4 linked regions of the Drosophila melanogaster genome follow. The protein of the gene in region 1 interacts with the protein of each later gene in a pairwise test. Each region holds a gene or a part of one and is shown in the gene's direction. Other genes may lie near its edges.

What was found.
Region 2: the proteins of CG30184 (region 1) and Sln interact in a two-hybrid assay, tested with the Drosophila melanogaster proteins (one large-scale study listed by BioGRID).
Region 3: the proteins of CG30184 (region 1) and CG30423 interact in a two-hybrid assay, tested with the Drosophila melanogaster proteins (one large-scale study listed by BioGRID).
Region 4: the proteins of CG30184 (region 1) and CG15212 interact in a two-hybrid assay, tested with the Drosophila melanogaster proteins (one large-scale study listed by BioGRID).

The regions. Positions count from the first base shown.
Region 1 is NT_033778.4:23,562,199-23,567,232, forward strand, and holds CG30184 (uncharacterized protein), read left to right. Parts: upstream 1-1,774; 5' UTR 1,775-1,880; coding exon 1,881-2,552; 3' UTR 2,553-2,582; downstream 2,583-5,034. Other genes in the region: Pi3K59F (phosphatidylinositol 3-kinase 59F), read left to right, coding at 1-329, 401-674, 749-1,110, 1,169-1,614.
Region 2 is NT_033778.4:11,843,046-11,852,660, forward strand, and holds Sln (silnoon), read left to right. Parts: upstream 1-2,278; 5' UTR 2,279-3,032; coding exon 3,033-3,065; intron 3,066-5,851; coding exon 5,852-6,818; intron 6,819-6,919; coding exon 6,920-7,372; intron 7,373-7,431; coding exon 7,432-8,037; intron 8,038-8,113; coding exon 8,114-8,240; intron 8,241-8,301; coding exon 8,302-8,683; 3' UTR 8,684-9,279; downstream 9,280-9,615. Other genes in the region: S2P (site-2 protease), read right to left, coding at 1-277, 345-782, 834-908; CG43190 (uncharacterized protein), read left to right, coding at 1,469-1,621, 1,680-1,871.
Region 3 is NT_033778.4:24,873,449-24,878,676, reverse strand, and holds CG30423 (uncharacterized protein), read left to right. Parts: upstream 1-2,811; 5' UTR 2,812-2,896; coding exon 2,897-2,912; intron 2,913-3,017; coding exon 3,018-3,018; intron 3,019-3,083; coding exon 3,084-3,339; intron 3,340-3,404; coding exon 3,405-3,512; 3' UTR 3,513-3,701; downstream 3,702-5,228. Other genes in the region: CG44247 (uncharacterized protein), read right to left, coding at 1-538, 1,380-1,473; CG16896 (uncharacterized protein), read left to right, coding at 4,037-4,317, 4,377-4,490, 4,553-5,228.
Region 4 is NT_037436.4:5,128,623-5,133,588, forward strand, and holds CG15212 (uncharacterized protein), read left to right. Parts: upstream 1-2,922; 5' UTR 2,923-2,981; coding exon 2,982-2,999; intron 3,000-3,137; coding exon 3,138-3,311; 3' UTR 3,312-3,505; downstream 3,506-4,966. Other genes in the region: CG4597 (uncharacterized protein), read left to right, coding at 885-944, 1,001-1,618; CG15213 (uncharacterized protein), read right to left, coding at 4,276-4,446, 4,506-4,523.

The DNA.
Region 1 (5,034 bases):
TTCAGCGGGTGGCAGTGGCAGTGGTGGTCAGGGATCGGTTGCGCTGCCAAACCCCTCTGCTCCCGCCACTCCGGGCAGCAGCTCGTTGCCCTGCGACTCAAACTCCAATGCCCTAATGCTGGCCGAGGGCATCAGCTTCGGCAGTGTTCCAGCCAATCTCTGCACATTCCTGATCCAGCGCGCTTGCACGAACGCCACGCTGGCCAACTACTTCTACTGGTACTTGTCCATCGAGGTGGAGGAAGTGGAGTCGGTGAGGAAGCAGGACGAGAGGGCCCACGACATGTACGCCATGGTGCTCAAGATGTTTCTGAAGGTGCTAGAGAACGGTGGGTGTAATTTAACGAAATCATGGCTCATTCTCTAATTCCCTAATTCTCTAATCCGCTCATCCGCACAGGCAACTTCAACCTGAGAGGCATCTTCTACAACCTCCGGAAGCAGCGGCGCTTCATCGACGAGCTGGTCAAACTGGTGAAACTGGTGGCCAAGGAGCCGGGAAATCGCAATAAGAAGACTGAGAAGTTCCAGAAACTGTTGGCCGAACAGGACATGTTCAAGGTGAACTTCACCAACTTCGAGCCCATTCCGTTTCCCCTGGATCCGGAGATCTACATCACCAAGATCGTGCCCATGCGCACATCGCTCTTCAAGAGCGCCCTGATGCCAGCCAAGTACGCCATGACCAACCAACAAACTCTACTCACTCACTGAATACTTCAATCCTAATCCTTAATCCTATTCGCAGGCTCACCTTTGTCACTTCGATTGCCCATCACGAGTACGCGGCCATTTTCAAGCACGGTGATGATCTGCGCCAGGATCAGCTCATCCTGCAGATGATAACTTTGATGGACAAGCTGCTGAGGCGCGAGAACCTCGACCTGAAGCTGACTCCCTACAAAGTGCTGGCCACCAGCTCCAAGCACGGCTTCCTCCAGTACGTCGACTCCTGCACCGTGGCGGAGGTGCTGGCGCGGGAGGGCAACATCCACAACTTCTTCCGCAAGCATCATCCGTGCGACAATGGACCCTACGGCATTTCGGCGGAGGTCATGGACACCTACATCAAGAGCTGCGCGGGCTACTGTGTGATCACCTATTTGCTGGGTGAGACTAAAGGAGTGTAACCAGGTGGATTCCGCTAATCCTTGGAATTTCCTCGCAGGTGTGGGCGACCGGCACTTGGACAACCTCTTGCTGACCACCAACGGCAAGCTCTTCCACATCGATTTCGGCTACATTCTGGGACGCGATCCCAAGCCCATGCCGCCGCCAATGAAGCTGAGCAAGGAAATGGTGGAGGCCATGGGCGGCATCAGCTCCGAGCATCACCACGAGTTCCGCAAGCAGTGCTACACGGCGTACCTGCACTTGCGGCGGCATGCCAACGTGATGCTCAACCTGTTCTCTCTGATGGTGGACGCCACTGTGCCGGATATCGCTCTCGAGCCCGACAAGGCGGTCAAGAAGGTGGAGGAGAACCTGCAGCTGGGCCTCACAGACGAGGAGGCAGTGCAGCACTTGCAGAGCCTCCTGGACGTGTCCATTACGGCGGTGATGCCGGCTCTGGTGGAGCAGATTCATCGGTTCACCCAATACTGGCGGAAGTAGAGGACATTGCTTGCACAAGAAATTGTGGGAGGAGCGAGTAATCCTAGTTCGGTTCAGCTGAGTTGTTTAACATCAAAAGTGTACATTAGATTAATACCTTATACTTATCAATACTTATTAATATTATTTATCCTTTAAATCCTAGTCGTAAGTTTGCTTTAGTCGTAGGTGGCCTGTAGCTAAAAGTCCGTTGTGCGGAACCAAATGTATCCACATATACTATATATCTTGTCACAATTGTAGTATAACCATTTAATCGGGCAAACATGCAGGTGCGCTCCAAGAAGCCCGTTTGGTTCCTGTTCAAGATGATGGAGCTGCTGCTGAGCCTGGGCTGCTGCCTCGTCCATTGGACCTGCTTCATGGAGGAGGGTGTGCCGCACATCTTCCTGCTGTGCGGAACGTACGGCGGCTCGGTGATCATATGCTTCATATCACTGATTGGAGCTTTCTACGCCGAGCGGCCGACGATGAAGCACGAGGCGCTGTTCGGTGGGATCTTGGGTGGCCTGCACATGGTCACCGTGTACGCCAACATGTATGTGGCCACTTTGGAGGAGTTCCGCACTGAGCGCTGGCCCAGCTTCTATGCGTGCTGTCGGGACAACGCCATTGTGGCTCTGTACGCCGGCGCCATTTATCTGATGCACTGCACCTTCGCTCTGGATCTCATGTTCTCCCACTCACGCAGTCGGGCGAATCAGAAGATGCATCCACAGCGGAGCAAGCGACCACTGCAGCTGTACTTCATCAGCCGGGGCGCGGAGGCCTATCTCAGTCGCTTCTGGTTCTTTCGGCGCATCGCCGCCAGGATGCTGACCAGCGCCCAGCCATCGGAGCATTCCGGCCGGAAGCGGCAGGTCTCGTCCTCCGAGTCGGACTCGGATGCCAAGGAGAGGGAGGAGGAGCGGATTAGGAACTCGGAGGTTTTCAAATAGCTCAAGTAATTAAATATTAACGTTCACCTGCTCGTGTGCTCACTGTAGTTGTGCCTTTTGAAAGCCCGCTGCTGTGCAGCCCTGGCGCCATCAGCTGTTCGCCGCATAACAGCCCCGTCTCTTGGAGCGCGCGCACTTTGACAGCTGTTCGTTTACAGTTCCTTTGGTTCTTGGAAGTTTGTTTGGCGCGCCGCGTGTGATTTTCGTTACTTTTGCCGGAATTGTGTCGATTTTGTGGATTTTTGCATTGGTTTAAGCCTGCGGAGGAGTCCAGCTTTAATGACGATGGCGAACGGTGCGGTGAGTTGCGGGGGGAACGCACTGCGTCGTCCACTTCGCCATTGTGCGGATGCATGGCTGGAAATTTCTGTCTGCAAACTTTTCCGATTTTCATAGTTCGATGCGTGGTGGAAACTTCTGCGGGCGGCGCTCGAGCTCTGGGTCTGTGTGCCTGTGGTTTTAGTTAGTTGCAGGTACTCGTTGCTAAAACTTTTGCTAAAAGTTAGCCGTTGCCACTAAAGTTGCCGCCCGAGGCAACACAAACAAACGAAAAAAAACGAAAAAAAACGGGACTAGCACACTCGCGGCCATGTGCATATGAACACTTAGACGCCGTGCCAAAACGAAAGGCACAGTGGGCCTTGGCTAACTCTGAAGATTGGAATTCTTCCCTTCAAGAAATTCCAATTTCTAGGACTTTCCCAATTTCCATTCTGACTTTGGAAGAGGCGGAAAACTGAGTGTGTAATCATCATTTCCCGTTTTCGCCTTTACAATTCACTCGATCTGTGCAATGTTGTATAGTAGCAGCAGCAACAGGAATCTCTTATCGGGAGCACTATGCCACATGCCACTCTTCCCGAAGAGAGCCCACTGCAGCTGCGAGTGCGAGTGAGTGGGTGGGTGTGCTACTGGCGAGCGAGCGAGCGAGCATGACTCACCGCTGCCAACTGCACTCAACTTGGCCTTTGTTATTGTCTGTGGCTGCAAGCCATCGAGCCACCGAACCACCAGGCGGCCCAGCCCCAATCCACTCCCTCCGCCCTCCGCTGCTAGCCCCAATTCCCCGGTCGTGGTCCTTCGAGCCGGTCCAAATGCAGCACGTGTTCCATTCGGTGTGCAAAGTCAGTTGGAATGCCAAGCTGGAGTTATGTGTGCGCACTTGGGGTTGTGTGGGTGTGTGTGGAAAGCGTGTGCATCTGAAAGATACATTTTCTAGATCGCAGCATGTTTGGTTTAGTTGGCAGCTAAATTTCACTACGTGCAGTTTGCGGTGGGTGTTGGGCCCAAAGTCTCGGAATTTCAACTATGTTTCGCAACAATTTAGCCGGCTGGTGATAACGATAAAACGGCGAGTTTCCGAGTCGATTGAGTGAATAAGATTAATCGTTATGGTGATGAGTTCGTTACGATGAGATACAAAGGCTGAGATAATTAGAGCAAAAATAGGTGATTCATACATACATATGTAAGTTAGCTAACTTACTTGAAGTCAATGCATGCAGAATTGTCATTGTTTGTTGAACTTATCATATGGAAATAGTAGTAATTGTGGTTGAATCTTAGCTGGCAGCACGTTCCATTAATTGGTAATCGCTTTTGGCTTTTGGCGCACTCTTTTCGTTTCGCCTCATTTCGGATTCGTGGAACCCAAAGGTGGTTCGTCTATAATTTCACAATCGACCCATGGGTGGTGCACCATTGTAATTGAAGTCTTAACTCCGACTTCCTATGTGCAGTCGCTTTTAGCTGGAACTTTTCGGGCCGTCGACGAACCCAACTCCCTAAACGAAGGTTCCCATCGTAGCACCGGAGCCCCGTAAGCCCCCATCTCGGGTTTTGGCCCCAAAAACGCTGTGTACGTGCCGCTAGTTCAGCTCCATAGATTGTCCGGTGGTAATCAGTTTACGCTGACGACGTTTGCTACCACTTTCCACCGCCACCCCTCTGGCCACGCCCCTGATCATGCAGATACAGCTGGGGTCAGCCAACTAGGCGAAATGGTATAGGAACATACTTGAAATATGATTGTTACTAGCGTATTTCAGATTCAACAACTTAGTATTTGTGCTTCTACTCCATTGTTCAAACCCAATGTGGTTACTATATGATGGCCCTATAATGCTGACCCCGTCTGTGGCGCATTCATATTCAAATCCAAGTGCAAGTCGTGTAGCTACATGCGAAACTCTGTGTAAACCGAAGTGGCTCTCATTTATTTTTCGTTCAATTCTATTTCGCTGCCGTTCGTTTTTCATGAACCGATACTAACACGAGTGCTACTATTTCAGTTGGTTACTAAACATTTAGTGCCCCCCATACTCCCCACTACCCCTCCCCCTGCCCCTGCGGATAGCCCCGCGAGCATCGAGCGCAGCGGGCTGACTAAGCGAACGAGCTGAGCGAACGGCGGCGGACGAAATGTCGCGCCATATTAACCATATTGCGCGGTGCCAAAAGGGGGAAGGCTTTGCATACTGCC
Region 2 (9,615 bases), about 12 Mb from region 1:
AGCCGTTTACTTGGGTTATTTGATTGTCCACTTGCAAGCCGCGCTCTCCCCTCAGCGGGGATTTCCTTGTTAGTTCAGTGACCACTACGTGTTGGTTGTAAGCGTACAAAGGTGACATAGTGATTCCCACCGTTGAGATTAAGAGATAGCACACGCCAGCGAACACAAAATTATGCCAGATTCCAGCGCACAGAACACGTAGCTTGCGGAACCAACGTAGACTGTTTAAGTGGTCGTGGGAGAGCTCCGTGTATGCTAACGGCAGGCAGAAGATGAACTGAAATATTAATATTTACCTAATTAGTAAGCGTATTAGGTTGTAAAGTACGCTATATCATTCTAACCTTTATTCCAAACCCGGTGACAGGCACATCCTCCATCACAGCGGCCAGGGCGTGTCCCATCTCGTGCACCACCAAGCAGAGCACAAGGGTTGTGATGTAGTATCCGATCTCCTCCAACGGCAAGTTGACGCCGGGCAGTAGAATTTCCAGCTGCACAGGGACTCCAACGGGCGAGGATACAGACGAAGAGCTGTCTTGTTCACCACTGCTGAAGATAGTGGCAATGAGCAGGATCAGACCGATCGGGAGCAGAGAAAAGGTGACCAGGACTCCTACATTAAAGCTGGTGATCATTACTCTCCGGGTGCAGCTGTTACCGGCAGATCCCCAGCGTAGGAGGGTCCTGTTAAAGGCACTCGTGTGCCAGTGGAGGCTCATGAAATTTATACTCAGCCCGGTGTTCTTGAGGAAGGCATCGTACGGGTAGTGCATGCAACTCTAAGGGATTACATTAAGTATCTGGACGTACTTTGGCTGGATATACTACACCTTGAAGAAGCGGTCGAAAAAGTAAAGAACGCCATAAAGCGATGCCAGTACTATGAAGAACACGAAGGGATCCATGGCTGGTGAGGTCTCAAGATGTCATTGGTTTGTTGGGATTAGGATGGTGATGCGGATTCTACAGTTGGGGGTCCTCCGGTTGCTGGACGTCACTTGCGAATGCTAGTAGTCCCTACCGGACGGGATTCCTTCCCGAAATCTTACTCCTCTGGTCCCGACTCCTTATACCAGCAATGCTGTGTAGTCCAGACCAGAAATCAGCATTAATCACGTCTGGGAATCTTGTGCGCAAATTAACCTGCGTAAAAAATCGAAATACCAAAAGCTAATCGCAATCGATTGCAGAACTTATCGATGGCCGCTTTATCAATAATACCGATAAGCAAGCTTATTTGGGCGCGAAAGTTTTGAACATTTTCAACTATTCAACGTCAAACAAAGAAAACTGTTGAACAACTCAAAAACAACAATTAAAATTTTTTTATGAAAATGATTTGCTTTCAATATAAAAAAATTCAAAATCCATTGTGTTAAGTGACTTAAAATACATCAAACACATGAGCGAACAGGAATTCTCATATAAGAGACTTTTGCCGACTTGCAGGCTGATCGTCTCCATTATGGCCTGCGTATCCTGTATATCGGGCGTGGCTGCCGGCTATCTTTTCATGACCAGTTTATCAGGTGTCTCTGAAGCGGTAAAGATTGTGTGGACCACCGGATCGGCTCTCTATGCATTATCCTCGCTCCTGTTGATTATTGCAGTTTGGAAGGTTAACCTGAAGCAAAATTAATTGAGGAAATATTCTTAAGAATCCTGTGATTTTGCAGTTCATTAAATGGCTGGCCTATCCATACATGTGCATGCTGCTCATGGCCATTGCCGTCTACACGATGATCCTGCAGTGGCTACTCAAGAACCTACCGGCTGCCGTTTTCTCATCTGTGGCCATCAGCTTTATATTTCTTGGAGTGGCGTTGAACATGACCAAAAGCCTGGAAGAACTACGCACTTCTCTATAGAGCAATGCAAAGTGTTCTCGTTTAGTTTTGGATTTATATTATAAATTTGCCGTGCAGTAATCAAGAGCAACGAATACACCTACTTTGATTAAAATTGAAAAATTATAGGTATATGAAAATCTAGCATGAGAAATTGTAAAGTTACATTTGTTAAATTTGTGTGACTTTAATTCGTAAGGCAATTCGTAATTCATTCATCAGCTGTTTTCAGAAATAAAAGTAGGTGGTTCTGGCAACAGGCGGCCAAAAGAACCTAGCAAAACAAAACGGATGAAAACCAATGGAAAGGAAGAGAGGACCTCTTACTCTTGTTTTTCCTTTTTCCATGCCGAAACTCACCACCACCAAGTTCACCTTAACTGAGTTGGGTTTTCAATGGACCTCCAGAGGACATGAGTATCATCAGTTTAGTCGTGAGCTTGAGCAGCAGCAGAACAGTCGCATCCGCCAAAAAGGGCAACAAACGAAGAGTACTCACGAAAAATAAAAAGGCTTTTGCAAAGGGTTTTCCCAATCAGAGAAAGTGTTCAATAGCTTCAGGCGTATTTTTAACCAATTTAACTCACTGGAAGGATCCAATTCGTTCGATTGTGATTGAGTAAGCTAAGAACAAAGGACTTCAGCTGGAATCTCGCCCCATATCGATTTGTTCCAAAAACTGCATATTCGCCAGCGAGTGAGTGAGAGAGTGCGCTTGTGCCGAAAACGGATACGGAAGGGGGCGACAAGGAAGCGGAAGCGGAAACAGCTGCTGCATAAACAATAGTAACAGGGAATACTGTGTGTCACATCAACGCATCATGACGCCAGAGCAGCAAGGATATTGCCCCTAGGAAAACCCATACAAGTTCCTCAAGGAAGCCCTCAAGAAAAAGCGAACGAAAATCGCAATCGATTCGGAGAACAAACCATCAAGACGAACCCGCAAAGGATTCAGTGCCAAAGGAGCCGTTCCGGCAGAAGCAGCAGTAGCAAGAGAGTATTTATTTTGGGCCAACCGGTGAAGGCCCGCGAACGTCAGCTCTTCAGGACTTTAAGGACCCAAAGCAGAGGCAACCCAATGCATTTGGGTGCACAACAACAACGCCCCAAGCAACAACAACAACAGCGCGAGCAACAAGAGAAACATCAAAGGCGTTTCACGTTCAGTAAAGGACGGCAATGTCGTCCCTACAGCGTGACTGGCATTTACAGGTGAGTAGTACTACCCAGCATCCCATTATCCTTACTTTGGGAAGGTCAGGAACCATCCCCCTTGATTCCTCCTCGCTGCCTTTTCTGGGGAGTGGGCCAATGGCAATCGTATTGAGGTAGCTGGAGTTTGGGTTCCTCTGGTGAGCATGCGCACTGGACCAGAGAGTGTTTTACGAGTACGTAAACATTGCAAGCGACAGGAGAATGGGTCAACGTCACAAGTTGCATCCATCTTAGTCGCTTTAGAAGAACGGGGACAAGAAAGTAAACAATACATGCCCCGACTGCTGATGGAAAGACCGAAAACCACAAGCCAAAGTTCAGTCGTGGCATGGTGTTGACCTTTAATGACACCTATTAAATCGAATAGAAGTGTTCATTTCTACTAGTTTTGACACAAATGAAAAGTAACTTTTTATTATGCTTATAATTATACTTACACTTACAATCGTTGATTTTGTAAACACTTAAAACATGAATTTTGAGCCAAATTTAAGTAGGTGTTTACACTCGCATATGGGAGTACAGCATCCCTACACTTAAGCATCAATGTCCTGCTGATTGGGTGAACTAATTGGCCTAGGCCTGTGCAACCTAATATCTATTATTACGGAGGGCTAGCAATTACGGGTGGCTCAACAAGTTGTGCGTCAAGTCCTCCCCACTAGATTCCCTCCCCGACTAGATACCACCCTCGACCAGCCGACTTGAGGCCACCCCTTTCACCTTGACCGCTTATCGTTCAGGCCCACACACGAGCGCCAACTAACTTGGCCCGGGGGAAGGTTCTTCCGTTTCATTAAGCGCTGGCAAAGGCCTTGAAATGTTGGGAAATTGAAAACAACCAGCGATTGCAGAGCTGCCCCAGCGAAAGCTTCCTGACAGCTTAAGCCGGATTCCAGCTGACAGCAGAGGGTGGTCTTGGGGGTTCTTGGCGTCCAGGATATCGTATACCATCGCATGCCACGGCGACGTGGGCCTTTGACATTCGACAAGGTCACTGGCTCTAGGATGCTGTGACTCATGCTCTTGAGGGGGAGTTGCCAAATGCCAAGAGTTGGCCAACGCTCATTAGTCGTGTCAGATGTGTGACTGCATTTTGCACTCGTTCAAGAATATTGCATGCCATCTATTTGGCATATTTCTACCATCAATATGGCTGACAGTTCATAAGCGGCACGAAGTTCGACAAATGACATGCCACGTAAACAAAAGACAAATTTATTAAATTTACTTTCAAAGTTAGAATTCAATTATATAAATTTACTTGGCTTTATTAAGCATAAGTGATGTTATGATTTGTTACATTTACCATGCAATATTTATTCGTTATAATAATTATTGATTATTTGCTCATTAAGAACTGACATGCTTAGATAGGATACTTAAGTAAAAGCAAATAAAAAGGTTGACTAAGGATAGAGCGCTTCACCTAATATATTGTGCATAGGTTTAACCAGCGTTGGGCACCAATCCTTCTTTCTAATGGGCACACACGTCGCATACTTGATATTTGATGCCAGCAATGTATCATATTTCGTATACGTACGTCATTGGAAGTACCAAGAAATAGGTGGGAGCGGGACAACTAAGTGCGAAATAAGAAGCTATTAGGAAATGAGTTATTACGAACTGTTGGTTATAACAATAAGATTGCGACAGCACATAAATATTAAGGGGGCAGGTGTTGAAATCTAATTAGGAATAGTTCAATATGAGGTAAAAATATTAACTGTGCACATATAACATAAAGTTTTAAATGTATATATTAGTTAGTATGTATAGTTGAGCTGTTGGCATGGCTGTAAACCCAATAATACCTTACATCAACTTACCGAATTTCGTTTTTGACTGCTTTCCAATTGTGTCCTTTCTACGAGGGCTTGGCAAAGATTGGCGTCTTATCAGCACGGGTATATTTCCTGGCATTAGCCTTCGGTTCGAGCATTGCATCGTCCTTGGATTGGAGCAAACACCCACCACTGCTCCTTTGGGGCCAATCGAACCCCCCATCAATTTCCGGCAACAAAGACAGAAACTAAAAAAGTGCTGAAAGGCAACCGCATGCCAGACCAGACCCACCTCGCTCTTGACCCTGAGTCGTCGGAAAATGGAGGTTTCGTGGGAGGAAGTGGCAGCGGATCCCGCAGACAAATGGAAAATTCCCAGACGTCATGCCAGCCCGCAAGGCACAGCATGCACCTGCAGCCTGGCATCGATTTAACAAAGTACATATAACAAGAAAATCCGCTCGGTCCGCGGGTAATTACATAGCCCAGCGGAGCGGGAATCGGGAAGGAACTGGATGTTAACTCAATTAAACAAAACGTATTGCATACATTAGGTCGTTGCAGCGATGTCGTCTATAAGGCGGCAGATCGCGTGCGCTCCTCGCATTTCGTTTAGCAATGCAAATTGGGCTAAGTTGTTGCTTCCTTGACCCGCCTCCAGTCGATTTGTCAACAGCCCCGGATTTCTGACGGGGTTTAACCCATTTTTGAATGCTACGGCGGAGGCGGAATTTTTGGATGCACGCCAATTTGGGACATTAACTTTTGATGTCTACTACTTGATAAGAACTTTCGCAATTAAATTGGCCCATTTTCTTGGGTTGCTTACTTCGTTAACTTGTTATGTTATTTAATTGTTATTTAAAAAAAACATCCCTCCATACTCCATACTCCATATCTTAAACACACTTTCATAGATTTATATTAAATATTGCACTAGATAACCAGCATATTTAATGTTTAACGATACAAAAATACTATTTATGTTTTTCGCAGGGTTCCCGGGGATCGGTTTACTGCGCGAGTGAACCGGACCCAACTGGTGGAGTCCAGTACGAGTCGGGAGGGTGCCTTCTCCACACGAAGACGGCTGAGGGCTCCGGCGGAGGGGCGGGCGTGGACGGGTCCGGTGGCGGAGTCGGCCTCGAATGCGGCTCCCTGTTCTCGGTGGTATCAGCGCCGCCGGCTCCACTGCCCGACATCGTTGTGCCCACCGAGATGGATGGCAAACACATGGAGTCCGCCGCCTTCCGCTCCGGATGCTGTTCACCCAACGCCTCGCCCATGCGACGACCCGCCACCCTCAGCCTGGACACGCAATGCTGCCCGAGGACCCTGCACGCCAGCCTGCTGGAGCATCAGATCTCCGAGCTGGAGGAGGACGACAATGAGAACCTGCTGACCGTGTCCAGCATCACGGCGCGACCGTTGATTGCCAAATCGCATGAGCTTCGCAGCAGTCGGAAGTCGGGTTCAGGTTCCGGATCTGGTTTGAATACGGCCCGCAGCAGGTGCGTCCGCCGGGCCAAGGAGCGCGAGCGGGATCGCGTGACCGTCGCCAGGCGTAGCAAGCAAGTGGTCAAGGATCGGGACTCCTCAACGACCACAACGGAGAGCGGTGGTCCGAATGTGGAGCCACCGGACGGCGGTTACGGTTGGTTCATCGTCTTTGGGGCCTTCTCCGTGCAATTCTGGGTGGCCGGACTGGTCAAGTCGTACGGCGTGCTGTATGTGGAGATTATGGAGACATTTCCCAGCTCTACGGCCACCGTGGCCTCCTGGATTCCAGCGATCCTGTCGGCTCTATGTCTGGTCCTGGCCCCGCTGTCCAGTGCTCTTTGCCAGCGATTCTCCTGCCGAACGGTGGTCTTCGTCGGCGGCATTTTCTGCGCCATGGGCATGATACTGAGCTACTTTGCCACCAGTCTGCTGCACCTCCTCCTAACATTTGGCGTACTCACAGGTGCATAATGTATAATCAATTTAAATTTATCCTCATCACATTAGTAATTATATTTATTTAGTTATCATGATGTTTATATTTAACTATTTCTTCACGCCCAGGTATTGGAGGTGGCCTCTCGACTACTCCGGGCATAGTGATAGTGTCCCAATACTTTGACAAGCACCGTGCATTGGCCAATGGAATCTGCGTTTCGGGCACTGCCGCCGGCAGCTTCATCCTACCCGTTCTGATAAAGCACCTCGCGGAGAACTGTGGCTTCCACGGCACTATTCTGATCCTGGGCGGTTGCATGCTTCACGTGTGCGTTTCGGCCACACTTTACCGCCCAATCAGTGCTTACACGGATCAGGACTCGGGCCAGGGACAGGAGGAGACGGCAAAGCCCCTCAACGAAGACATCAATCCGAGCACCACGGGCATTCTGACTACATCCACCTACCTAGACACCTGCGATGTGGGTGCAGGCCACGAGCTGAGCGACAAGTTTATCGAGCATCTGTTCCTGGAGGAGTCCAAGAACCACCTGAACTACTATGCCAGCAAGCAGCCAGGTGGGAGTATTATTTCATCGAGGAAAACTCCAAATAATAAATCCCATTTGGTTACTTAGCCCAGGACAAGTCAGCGCAGGAGAGTGACGACGAGGTAAAGGATATTATTGGCGAGACCACTTTCATCAAGCCCATGAAGAAGGTGCGCAGTTCCGGATTGCTGCACTCCGTCGAAGATCTGAGCACGGACTCCACTTGGGTCTATCGCAAGCACTCCGGCACGGACTCCAATCGCGGAAGTCGTCGTCGGCGCAATGTCTTTGCCAACGACGAGGTGATATCCAAGATACAAGCCCACTTGGAGAAGCCTCTTTCGCCGCCGAGTGTGGTCAGTCGCGGACTCAGCAAGAGCATGGAGATACCCACTCCGGTTAGCAACCTCAGTGATCTCAAGCAGCAGCCGGTGGAGCAGGCGGAGCTCGGCATTCTAGACTCCCAGCTGGTGGAGTCCATTATCGATGGCGACGGCCACCTTGCCGCCGATGAGGATGACGATGACGACGAAGAGCGGGGACCACGCACTTGCTGCGAGCGCATCGAGATGTACCTGGACATCAGTCTGCTGCAGGACCCGAGCTTTATCCTGATGTGCCTATCCGTCACCTTGATGTCCGTCGGCTGTCCCTACATGTTGTACTATCTGCCCGCCCACGTTATTTCAATAGGTATACTATTTAAAATGTTCAAAGTATATTCTTTCGGCGTACGATTTTAAATATTATAAACTTGGTTCATCTTTAGGATACAATAAAAGTGAGGCGGGATACCTGGTGGCCATCAGCGCGGTCCTAGATTTAATTGGGCGCCTTGGACTTGGCTGGCTGTGCGACCTGCAGCTATTCGATCGCAAGAAGACCTACACCTTGTGGTGAGTACCAGATAAGGTTTATTTTTCGATCCAAACTAATCACATTTCCCTATATCGACAGCATTTTGGGCGCCGGATGTGCCGTGCTCACAATTCCCTTCGCCAAGACTCTGGTTTTGGTGGGTCTATCGGCCGCTGTCTACGGACTTTGCCTGGGTAGCTGGTATGTACTTATGCCGGTCCTCCTTGCGGACGTCTTTGGCACGGACAGGATCAGCTCGAGCTACGGGCTGGTGAGGATGTTCCAGAGCATCGGGGCCATATCGGTGCCTCCGCTGGCAGGACTGATGCGAGACCTTTCCGGAGACTACGAGATATGCTTCTACTGCATGGGATCCTGCATGGTGCTCGGGACCACTCCGCTGATTGTGTGGTCCATCCTGGAGGCCCGCAACCATCGGTTGTTTGTTCAGCGCGAGGAGGAGGAGTGCGAGGAGGCCTAGAAATGATTCGGATTCGTTGGTTGCCCCATATGTTAATAGTGTTTTAGTAGCGATCAAATACTAGTTGAGTTCCTGAGTTTCAGAGTTCGAATGCCTCACCGATATTGCTGATTCTACCAGTTACTATTACTACTATCCGTACGTTCTCATCCGTATCTTTGTATCTTAATCAATCCCCATGCCCACCCGCACCCAATCGCTTGTTATCCTTCCGTTGAGCAACAGCAAAAGGATGTGTAAGATGATGATATTCAAACGAAGAAACCAAACAACCTAAACAACCAACAACTGAGCACCAAATGTTGCGCAAAAAGAACTGAGTTTAAAAGACATGAACTACAAATACCCGTATATAACTTTATAATATGATAACTACGATCAATGCCCGACTAGATGGTTATATAGGCCGACTATAGTTGTAGGTTCGCACATCCATATCGGAAAGGACTAAACTTTGTGCAGGAAAAATTAAGTGGCTTTAGACAGAAGGGAGGCTTGAATGGAGAACATCACATTACATTACCCTAGAATTAAAATAGTTGTTGTGAGACATTTACCCATAAAGACAATTACCAAATAAACACGAAATCAAAAGGTTAATCGCGTTTTATGGAATTAAAGGGAATGATTTCGCTTGGTTTGGGTTTTGCATTCGTTTATGTTATTAAATAAAGTCCTTTCTTTTTTTATTCGTAATAAAAACGGATTTTTCAACCACGTTTAAAAAATTTTTTTTATGAATGAATTTATCTCTTTTTAAAGAAAAACATTTTGTTTTATTAGGCTGTGAATAGGCTGTTATAACGCTGTTGAAACAGTGAGAATAATATACTCGAATCGATAGTACCGAAAAATATCGATATTGTTCCATCTCCACTGCATTGACGTTCATTTTTTCGCGTCCCTAAAGCGACTTTGTGCACAATTCGCAA
Region 3 (5,228 bases), 1.3 Mb from region 1:
TCCTCCAGCGCCCGGGAATCCAGCTCCCCCGAAGGGTCGTTCGGGTTGTCAAAGAAGCGAGCGTCGCTGGGACCTACAGCAAAGGGAATCCGTTCGCGGAGCACACTGTTCCTGTTCGGGGAGTTGCCCAGGCTGGGCCGATTCGGAAGGCTGGGCAAGGGTGGTAGGTTGGGCAGGCGAGGCAGGTACAATGGAGGACTTTGGAGATCAGAGACTGCCTCCATCGGACTGCCGTAGCTGGCCTCTGCCTCCGCGTTGTCGTACTGGTCGTACTGCTGGTTCAGGTTGTTTCCGTTGGACTCGTAGTCCTCCTCCGCCTCGCGCTGTACCTGGAGCTCCTGCTGCCGCTGGCGGTACCGCTCCTGCTCCAAGAGCTGCCGCTGACGATCCATCTTCAGGTTGATTTCGTGCAGCTGTTGGTCGAACTGCTGCTGCAGCCGACGGCGGGCATACTGCTCCATCATCTGGGCCAGAAAAGCATACTCTTGCTCACTCTGCGGATCCATCACAGGCGGCTGAATGGGTCGGCGGCGCAATCCTGCAAGAATTCGGATTCGAATCGTATCAATGTCATCGGATTAGTGGGCACGGGCAGATGATTATGGTAATGGTAATGAGCCTGGGCTGCGTGTTAGGGATCGGAAAATAGAAAGTGAAATCGAAGTCGAAATAGAAATAGAAATAGATGGAATGGCCGAAATGCGGTGGTCTGCCTCCTACAGCCTTAAAGGATTCGAAATAGACAAACAAAAGTTCGTTTTATTGCCAGAGGCTAAAAATAGACCAATTACACACGCGCCCAGGTCAACCCGAGCAATTCCCGCAGAGTGAGGGAGACCAACATACAGTCGGAGGACTGGGAACCGAAGTCTGTGACGTGCGTGGCAATTCCATCGCACTTTGTTGTTTTCGTCGTGTTCAGCCCATTGTTGCGCTTGTATCAAGGAAGTATTTGTTATAGCTGTTGGGATGAACGGAAAAGCTTTAAGGCGCTTAAATGTATGCTACGAAAATCGTAGCTAATCCATATTACATATATTTATACCAAATGCATACATATGAATGTAAATTTCGAGTGGAGAATTTCGTTATTACCACTTATGTGTATTTATGTAGTTACGACGCTGCAGTTGGCTTGACTTTTTAGTTTTGCCGAAGCAATGAGCGTGGGTGTTTTGGTTTGATTCGGAGCACTTCGCAGGACTCGCCATGCATGTATCTAGTGCAGGGGATACACAAATCGAGGTGGCAGCTTTCCTTTCCTTTCCTTTCGCTCCTCCTGCGCCATTCAAGCCCGAACACTCAGGCTGCGTGTGTGGGTACATGGGTGTACGGGCTTATAGGTGAATGGGTGTGTAGTGCGCTATTTTTAGGCTTACCTGGGTAAACGGACATTTCGCAATGACCCAATATGCTGCACAGTAGCGTTGCAGCGAGCGCCAAGCTAACGGTGATTTCCAGGCGAGCCGCCATCTTGCACTTGCCACCAAATGCACTCCCACTTGCGGATTTCTCGAGACCTCAGAAATCAATTTCGAATGGGAACTATCTAGCACTGCACGACCTCTGCCACCACTGCCATATGGCCGGTTAATGGGGCTTTGGCTAGAACGACGACGTCGACGAGGGTTATTGATTTTCAACACCCACACTCGCACACACTTGCGAATATATCCAATTGGCAGCTGCTGGTGGTTGCTCCCCGAACTTTTGCACTTTCGCGTGGGCGTGCAATATTTCTGGCTAGTAACCTGCGCCAACTGCACTTCTCGAGGATTTTTGGGGGTTATTAGGTGTCCTAGCAAAGGTTATGCTGCACTCTACCGGGTGGTTAAAATGTCAAATGGTGCACTTTTCTCACAGATTGCTGGCGAAGAAGCTCAGATGGACATATGGCTGTGGGGATATATGCGGATGGGACTCGACTCCTGGGCTGCGTTGCTCCGCTGTCGACGTATACCGTTATACTGAAGAAACTGAATGAGCCTGGCGGCGGCAAAAAGCCCGAGAAGAAGCAGAAGCTGTGACGCAAATGTTAGGTTCGCCCCCGCGCTGTTAAATGTTGCGGGCAGCTTTTGAGGGCAGGCCGCGCAGCAACAACAACAACCAGAGGGGCACAGTAGTCAAAAGCAGCGCATGCGCACAGTGGGGCTGAAAAGCTCGGCACGTCCGTTCCTTTATTCTTTGAGTAAACACGGGCATTCATAAAGAGCCGAGACGAGGCCAAGGAGACTCTCGGCCAGCTAGCAGGTGGCTGCCACTCACGAATTCCGAAGCCCCGTCAGCCAACTCCACGCCCGCTTTGGGAGAACCCTCCCTTTCCTCCAGCTTCCTCGCTTGGGATAGGGCGTGCTTAATTTTTATCAATGAATTGGCAGCCAAAGAGCTTTTCTCACCGGCAAAGGACTGCGGGAGTTATGGTAGGCCGAATAGTGTATGTGTAGCATTGGTCCTGATGTCCGAATCGGTTGGGAGAAATACCCCCAAGTGGATCTCGGATTCTTACGCGAAATGATTTCGTAACAGATTATCGGGGAATACTCATCTTTTCCTTGCTTTCTTTTCATTGATTAGTCGTTGATAAACGGACTTTTAAAAGACATTTAATAAAAAAGCTTTTAAAAACTTAAAAACCAAAGGTAAGTCCTTTAATAAAGCATTTCATGGAGGTTCGGAGAAAATTAGCATATAAATTGAAAATACATTTAATTAGACCTGGAAGAATTTAAAATCGAATTTAATAAATTATTTTTAACGGTATATACTAGAATCGGTATATTACGTTTAAATAATTTTGAATGGTCATGTTTCGGTCATACTGATGAACTGGTTCATCTGGAACTACACATCTGAGTCATTTTTAGGAGCGACAAAGGAAAAATTATAAACAAATACAATGGCCACCTTAAAGGGTAATTATGCACAACAGTCTCTAGCAAATCTAATGGCTTACATTCTTCGCCTACATCAACACCAACTGGAACCCGCTACACGCCTCTTTTGAAACCATCACACAGCGTATGTCTACAACTACACCCACTCCTGCAGCCAACCGTCTGATAATGATTCCCCTCTTTGTGCAGCCTCTTCATCTGCGCCTTTCTTACATGCATTGGTGTTACCTTCCTGATCCTGGCCTGCGCCGTGCCCACGACAAAGATTTTCTATCCCTTCTTCGTTTTGCTGTTCTACGTGCTGTCAGTTCTTCCAGTCTTCATTGCCAGGAGGACAACTCCTGGAAATGAGACCAATCCGAAATCGGAGTTTGCTCACTTCCTTACCGCGGGAATGGTGCTGAGTGCCTTCGCCCTGCCCATCGTCCTAGCCCACGCATTGGTGGTAAGTGGACACACGGAGCTATTGGGATTTTAAGAGTGTTAAACACGCGATGTCATTCTTAACAGATCACCTGGACGGCGAGTATCCTGACGATAATAAGTAACATTATTAACTACGGCACCATCTTCTGGTACGCCATGCGCGATGACGAGCCATACGGATCCATGTTCTAGAGGGGATTTGTAGTTCACAAGCTCACTAGGCTAGTAACCGGCGCAGGAATATCACCGATGCACTGGGTCCTAGGGTTACGGCCATTTATCCGTAAGCACGCATGCTGTTCGCTTATCCGCAGTCATCAACAAATCTCATATAATCAAATGTATCCAGATAAACGCAAACAAAATAAACTGACGTAGTAGACATTGTCTGGTTCCGGTTCTTTTTGCTGGTTCGATATCGATATCTAAACCACTATTCCATAAGCAGTAATTCTCTCCACTGGCGTATCAAGGAGGGATTAGCTCTCAGTTTTCACTCACTTAATTGAACTGGAAATATTTATAGTCGAAAAAAAATAGCCTGGATGGTGTTCATTTGGCTGCACTGGAACTAGGAACAAGCATTCAGTTGTTAAATATACAAATTTGTAAATATCCTTGCTGGATAAATGAATAGCGGTGTGGCGTTCCTTTTTTCATTGGCGAAAGTACACGTCCTTTGACAAATGGAGTTACACCTCATTTGAGCCCATAACATGGACAGGATTATAAAATCTGAAATCAAGAAGGAACAGATCACGGGTATTCCTTCGGTGGCCCTTCATGGCATCGAGAACTCGATGCAGGACGATAGAGATGTCAACACTGACGTGGAGGAGGACTTCACGGAGGAGGAGTTGGAGCTATTCACAGATCAGGATTCAGACACGGGAGATTCTGATGTGTCGCTCACGCAGCCTGAGGCAGCGCGCAGTGTGCTTTTGAGCAATGCTCCTATGCGCAAGTACCCTTTTAAGCTGAAGCAAAGCGAATCTGGGTGAGTATGCGCTCTAGGCACATTGCGGAGTTGTTGCCAACGAAGTTTGCGAATTCCAGGAACGTCCTAACCGTTCACCACACGATCAAGGAAGCAGGTCAGGCACTGCGCATCCAGATTGCCGCCTGCTGCTTCAACGAACTTAGCAACAAGCTGGTGGTAATAGACAAGCGGTAAGGTTGACAGGGGAAACAATAACGTAATACTCTTTTAAACAGTCTTTTTTATTTCCCAGTGGCAATGTTTTCGTCTTTGACTTTGTACGCAAACGCTACTGGCGGCTGGGATTCCGGATGCCCAAGGCCAAGCTCATTCGGCCATCCCCTCTGCACGGTAGCGACTACATTGTAGGCAATAAAACGGGCCACATTTTCACCATAGACGTGGACAACTCAATTCTTGGGGTCGACGGAGAAGTGGGAAGCGCAGCGCTTGAGGAATTGAGTTGGAGCAATAGCCTGCAGAATGCACGCTCCTCTATCGCTCTGATGCGTTTCGGCAGCGATGCACTTCTGGTGAATCTCCATACTCTGGAGGTTTCCCATCAGCTGGATTTCGATCAGTCGCGCTACACGCTGAAGTTCGCTGCCTTCCTGCCCCACTCGGACCAGTTCTTTATAGGGTTTTCTAACGATTCTCTGCATGTGTGGTCCTCGCATTCATTGAGCACTTTGCGGATGGGCCAGCCTATCAAGGCCAGGAATCGCAAACTGAGACTGCTACCAGCCGCAGAATCTATACCGGAAATAGTTCTCCGAAGCCCGGATGACAGTGACTTGGAGGAGGACTTGACGTTTGACTGCCAGCACTACGACTTTGCCGATGGAATGCTACTCAGCTACTGCTTCACCCCCGACGGCAACAAGATGTGCCTTAGTACCTTGGATGGCTATCTTTTATTGCTGAGCGTG
Region 4 (4,966 bases), on another chromosome or scaffold:
CATCCCCTTCACACCCCCTTACCATTTGGTCAACTGGTGATGTTGTTGTTGCTACTGCTGCTTCTTCGTTGTAAAAGACATTGACATTTTTTTTTTGCTGACCGTTTGCTCAGTTGCTTTTCTCTGTACTTTGTTGTCGTTGTTTAATGGTTTTTATACATATTTTTTTTTTTTAGCCAGCTATTGTTGTTGGTAGCATCGCATTACGTCACTTTCACTGTAGTTTGCGGCTTAAGGCAGCCTTTCGGCTTTACGTTGTTGTTGTTGTTGTTGTTGTGTTGTTGTTGGCACTGTTTGCACTTGTTTTTGGTACAAACAAGCAAATTGCAATAAAAATGCTCGAAATTTATGGTCCACTGGCATACATACATTTTGTTTGGTATGATTTATCCGAGACTTTTGTTCGCCTTGCTTTCCGGCGGCACAATTTATGCCCGTTTACATGGTAAACTTTTGCTGTTTTTCCCAGTAGTTACCCGTTCATGCTTTTTGGTTCAAGTTCATCAGTTGGCCACCGAATTCGCAACTGGGATCAGGTTTTATGGTTATCGTCTTGATAGATGCGACGTTAAGTTCGCCAAGTTAGACTCGTATATCAGCAACTAGTTGGTAAACACTCATCACAAAGTTGATTTGAAAATATTTAACGCTGTAAGTTTGTTCATTGCGCATACGCCGTGTTAACATGTGGGTGTACCTACCACATTACGCATTCGCACCGTTTGCTCATAGAGCTGGGGCTTTGATAGATAAGAATCGGGCTGAAACAATGTCATTAGTCCAGTTAACGTGGCCTGACTAAACAAGCTAATTTCCCAGTTACCAAATGTCGGCAATTTTCGGTCAGTTATTTTGAATGAATCCAATCATCCGAGCATTAAACAATGTGGCCTCTGCAAAGTTTAGCTTTATTTTCATGTTTAGGAGCTCTTCAAGTGCACAGTGTGAGTTATTTAAATAAACCATAATTTTAATACATAAAGTACTACTTCTTAAGCAGATCAGACTGCGGCTTGAGCACTTTTATGTCAAATCTTTTGTACCAGATGATATGTTCGCGGAGTATGACATTGTCGACTATGAGAAAATCAATGTGAATCTCACAGTTCAAGTGCCCTTTCCTGGCAAGCTTCTCATCCACATTTTCGTAAGGAAGCTGTCAGATCAAGTTGGTGGTTCGAACTACTTCGATCTGATTCGCATGACGAACAAGGATCTCTGCAAGCTCCTCGATTCACTTCGCAATATTACAGTGGAGGAAATTCCGGGCGAAAGCCTTTTGCCCTCGACTTTTGTTGTCTCATGTCCTTTGGTTCCAGGCTTCTATTTTGTTGAGAATGGCGTTATTGATTCCAAACTGGTTCCTTTCCGCATTCCCGATGGCAGATACATGGTACTTTTTGAGCTGATACAAGTCTACGAGGAAGTTATGAAGCTGATTTCATGCAGAATCAAGTTTTCCATTAAGACACCACCTGGATACACGGAACCATCGCTGTTTAAAAATAGCGAGGAAAATAAAGCGACTGAGAAGCCAGTAGAGAAAACCGAAGAAGCAAGTACAGAGGTTACTCAGTCGAAAGAGGATAGTTCGGAAGTATCAAACGATTACGAATAATGTAATTTTTGTAACTTAAATTTTTTCAAATATATTATACATGGAGCCTCTCCCTTTTTTGCTAAATTTTTTCACCCAAAAAAACAATTTTTACACATTTTCTGCAAAATAGTACCATCTATCACCGAGTTTCGGGTGCGTAATAAAATTTATTATCTCCCACTAAAAATTCGCCGGGATTGAGACATATCGCACATGTTACAGCCACGCCCATAAATGTTAATTAAAAAACCCAGGGGCATGGGAAATATATCAAACATGAATTTAAACCGCGCGAGACAAGCCGACGACAAAGACTAACTCAAAGATATCCATTCAATCCAATCTTTTAATTTGTTGTCATGGTAAACTTTGTTTGTGATATCCATTCGACACGTATTTGTTTTTGTGGAGTACAAACTGTGGAATGTTTTTTTGAGCTGCGTTGACATTGTGGCGGCATTCTCGAAAGTTCGTTATTTACATATTTAGAGCAGGGCGAATGTTTCCGGTTTTCAGCTGCAAGATCGTCGTCAGCATCATCAATACTTGCACGATGACTGGGCAAAAAAAACACTTGGCCTCCGTACCAATCATATGTTGGTTTTTATACCATCGCCCAGCCCAAAATGGTTCCGTCGTTTAGCTTAACTTTTATTGATTTAGTATTCCACTCTACAGGCCTGACAGCTGTTCAAAGTGTCAAATATTTATGGATCCTCTGCTCAAGTGATAATTTATATTTTAATTGGCTTGACCACTGATCATTCGATCATTGGATCTTGAACTTCAGATTAACTTACCATTTGAATTGGGTGATCGAGGGGCTCTAGATACACTGAATTAGCAATTAAACTGCCTGGCATTACAATTTCCGCCTTCTTCCGGGTTTTGTTTAAATATTACTCCGCTGACCGCATTTGAGGTGACCTTCATTTGTCGATGTCTTCATTTACCCAGTCTGATTATTATTTAATCAACGATCAACTTCTTCAGTGGCTTAGCGAAGCAAACAAAAGATGCCACCACCAAGTAAACAGGGCAGCCTGGTTTTGCTGCTCGGTCCCGCTGCCGAAAAAATTGGCCCGAAAAAAAAAAAAAACAAAGCACCTGCCTCAACATGCCACGCCCCTTGAATCGTCTGCTTTTGGCCAGGTTTTTCTGTTTATACTTCTTTTTCGCTTACCGTCTTATTTATGCGAGACTCTTTTGTTTATGTATCGTTCATTTGTCCTCTTCTTCATTGCAAACTGCAGTTTACACATGACATTATCATCGATGGTCACCCAAAAGTTTGGCTATAAAAAGGCCTGATGCCAGATGGAGCCATGTGCAGTCGATATTTGGATTAATCAGCGTAATCATCTCCCCAGCAGCAGCAATCATGAAGTACCTAGCTCTGGTGAGTATTTGGATATAACATTTGGATTAATAATTGGATTAAATGATTTCCAATTAAGTGCAACATATGAAGTTGTTTGTTGAAGTATATTAAATTTTCAATTTGTACTAAAAATCTATTGTAATTCACATTTTTCAGACCATTTTCGTGTGCCTTATGGCCATCGCCCTCATTTCTGCCGTGCCCGTGGATGAGTCCCTGATCGGCGATAATATCTACCAGCCTGCCTTCGACGATGTCCAGCGTCCCCAGGATCCGCAGGCCATCTTCAAGCTGAAGAAGCTGCTCAAGTTGAAGAAGCTCCTGGGTTAGGAGAAATTCGCAATAAGCTTCGTTCAGATTCTAGTCCAGCCAATTGGGAACCTTGCCTCCCCCACTACATTCGATTTTCAAACCGTTTTGTTTAGACAATACCCAATAAGCACAAACACACAAACACACACAAAAGCACATACATACGAGTAAAGTATACGTAATCGTAACTAAAATAAATGTTATTTTCATACACGTCGGCTTTTCTTATATCATCGAAGCGTCGGGGATGAGATCTCCATGTGTGTCCAAAAAGGAGCTAATGACTGGCAGCGGGTCGGGTTTTTGTTTGCCTAGATCTGAATAAGAAACCCGTTTCGGATCGTTTCTGGGTAGAGAGTGTGAAAAGCGAACGGAATCTTCCTTACATGCGTATAAATATTGGCCAATCTCAGTCGTAAATGAATCAAGTGGGTTCAATGATGTGCTAATACAAGGAGCCCACTGTGAGATTAATGATCATACCTACTTTCATTAATTGGCATGATTAGTTAACTTGATATGCCAGTAATATTATAGCTTAACTAAATATAATATATTAAATATTTTCAAGTATCAAAATTATGTAAAAAGTAACGATAACTCATCACATATTGACATATTGAGAGCTGGTCACGAAAAATCGGACATGATTGCCATCAAGTTGAAGCACATGGTTCCAGCCTTTCAACTTACCATAAATTTTAACATTCAGGTGTATTAGTAGTATTAGGAATGATTTTAATGTGATCGTAAAAAAAGAAAATTATTTGGAATTGAAGGTTGGACCTCTTCAAACAAAAGACTTAAGAAGCGAACTTGTTTTTTTTTTGGGCACCATTTTGTTTTAACCTTGCAATAAAAAATGAATAAGTAAAGGTTTCGTTACCAAATACTTTCTTTAATTTCACTCTTGTTTTTCTTCTTAAAAACCTAAACACATGTTAAGTTAAACTATAAATCCATAAATGTGAGGGTGTGGTGTCTAGCCCAGGAACAGCAGCTTCTTGAGCAGCTTCAGCTTGAGCAGGAAGGATTGGTCGTCGGATGGGTTGACGGACTCACTGCCAGGACCTTCGAAGCCATCGGGAATGGCCTCCTCGCGAGGAGCAGCACTGGTGGCCATGAAGCACACGGCAAGGCAAAGGAAGACGCTCTGTAAAGGAAGGGTCAGTAAAGTTCCTTGGTATTCCGTGTCGATTTTTAGTGACGCACCAGGAGCAAGAACTTCATGTTGTATGTGGCTAGATGTATGTAGTAATCGATCGATGGATTCGCACTGCGCGTTGACAGACCTGCTTGCACTGATCACCAGACCCCGCCGACCCGTCTATTTATATGCCTGTTCAGTTGAGAGTGAGTTGCTCGGCCGGCAGACCGCTCGTCTTTCATAGAAACTAAAACAACGCGAAGCATCAGCCAAAGATTCAGTGATTCACATGTCGGCGGGCGGGGTGGTATATCAATCTGTTTGGACTATTAAAAGTGATTTTAGTCCAACACGCAATGTGATAACAAAAGCCAGGTTCCCTTTTTCGTAGCCAAGTAGATTACCTTATTGTGGTGCCATTGTTGAACTTGCGACGCCTTATGTTTGGGCAATTTGTTGACTTGCGGTTTCTCCGGCTTCACTTCTTTTTGCTAATCGGTGTTTCCTTGGTTCTGGGTTCTATTTG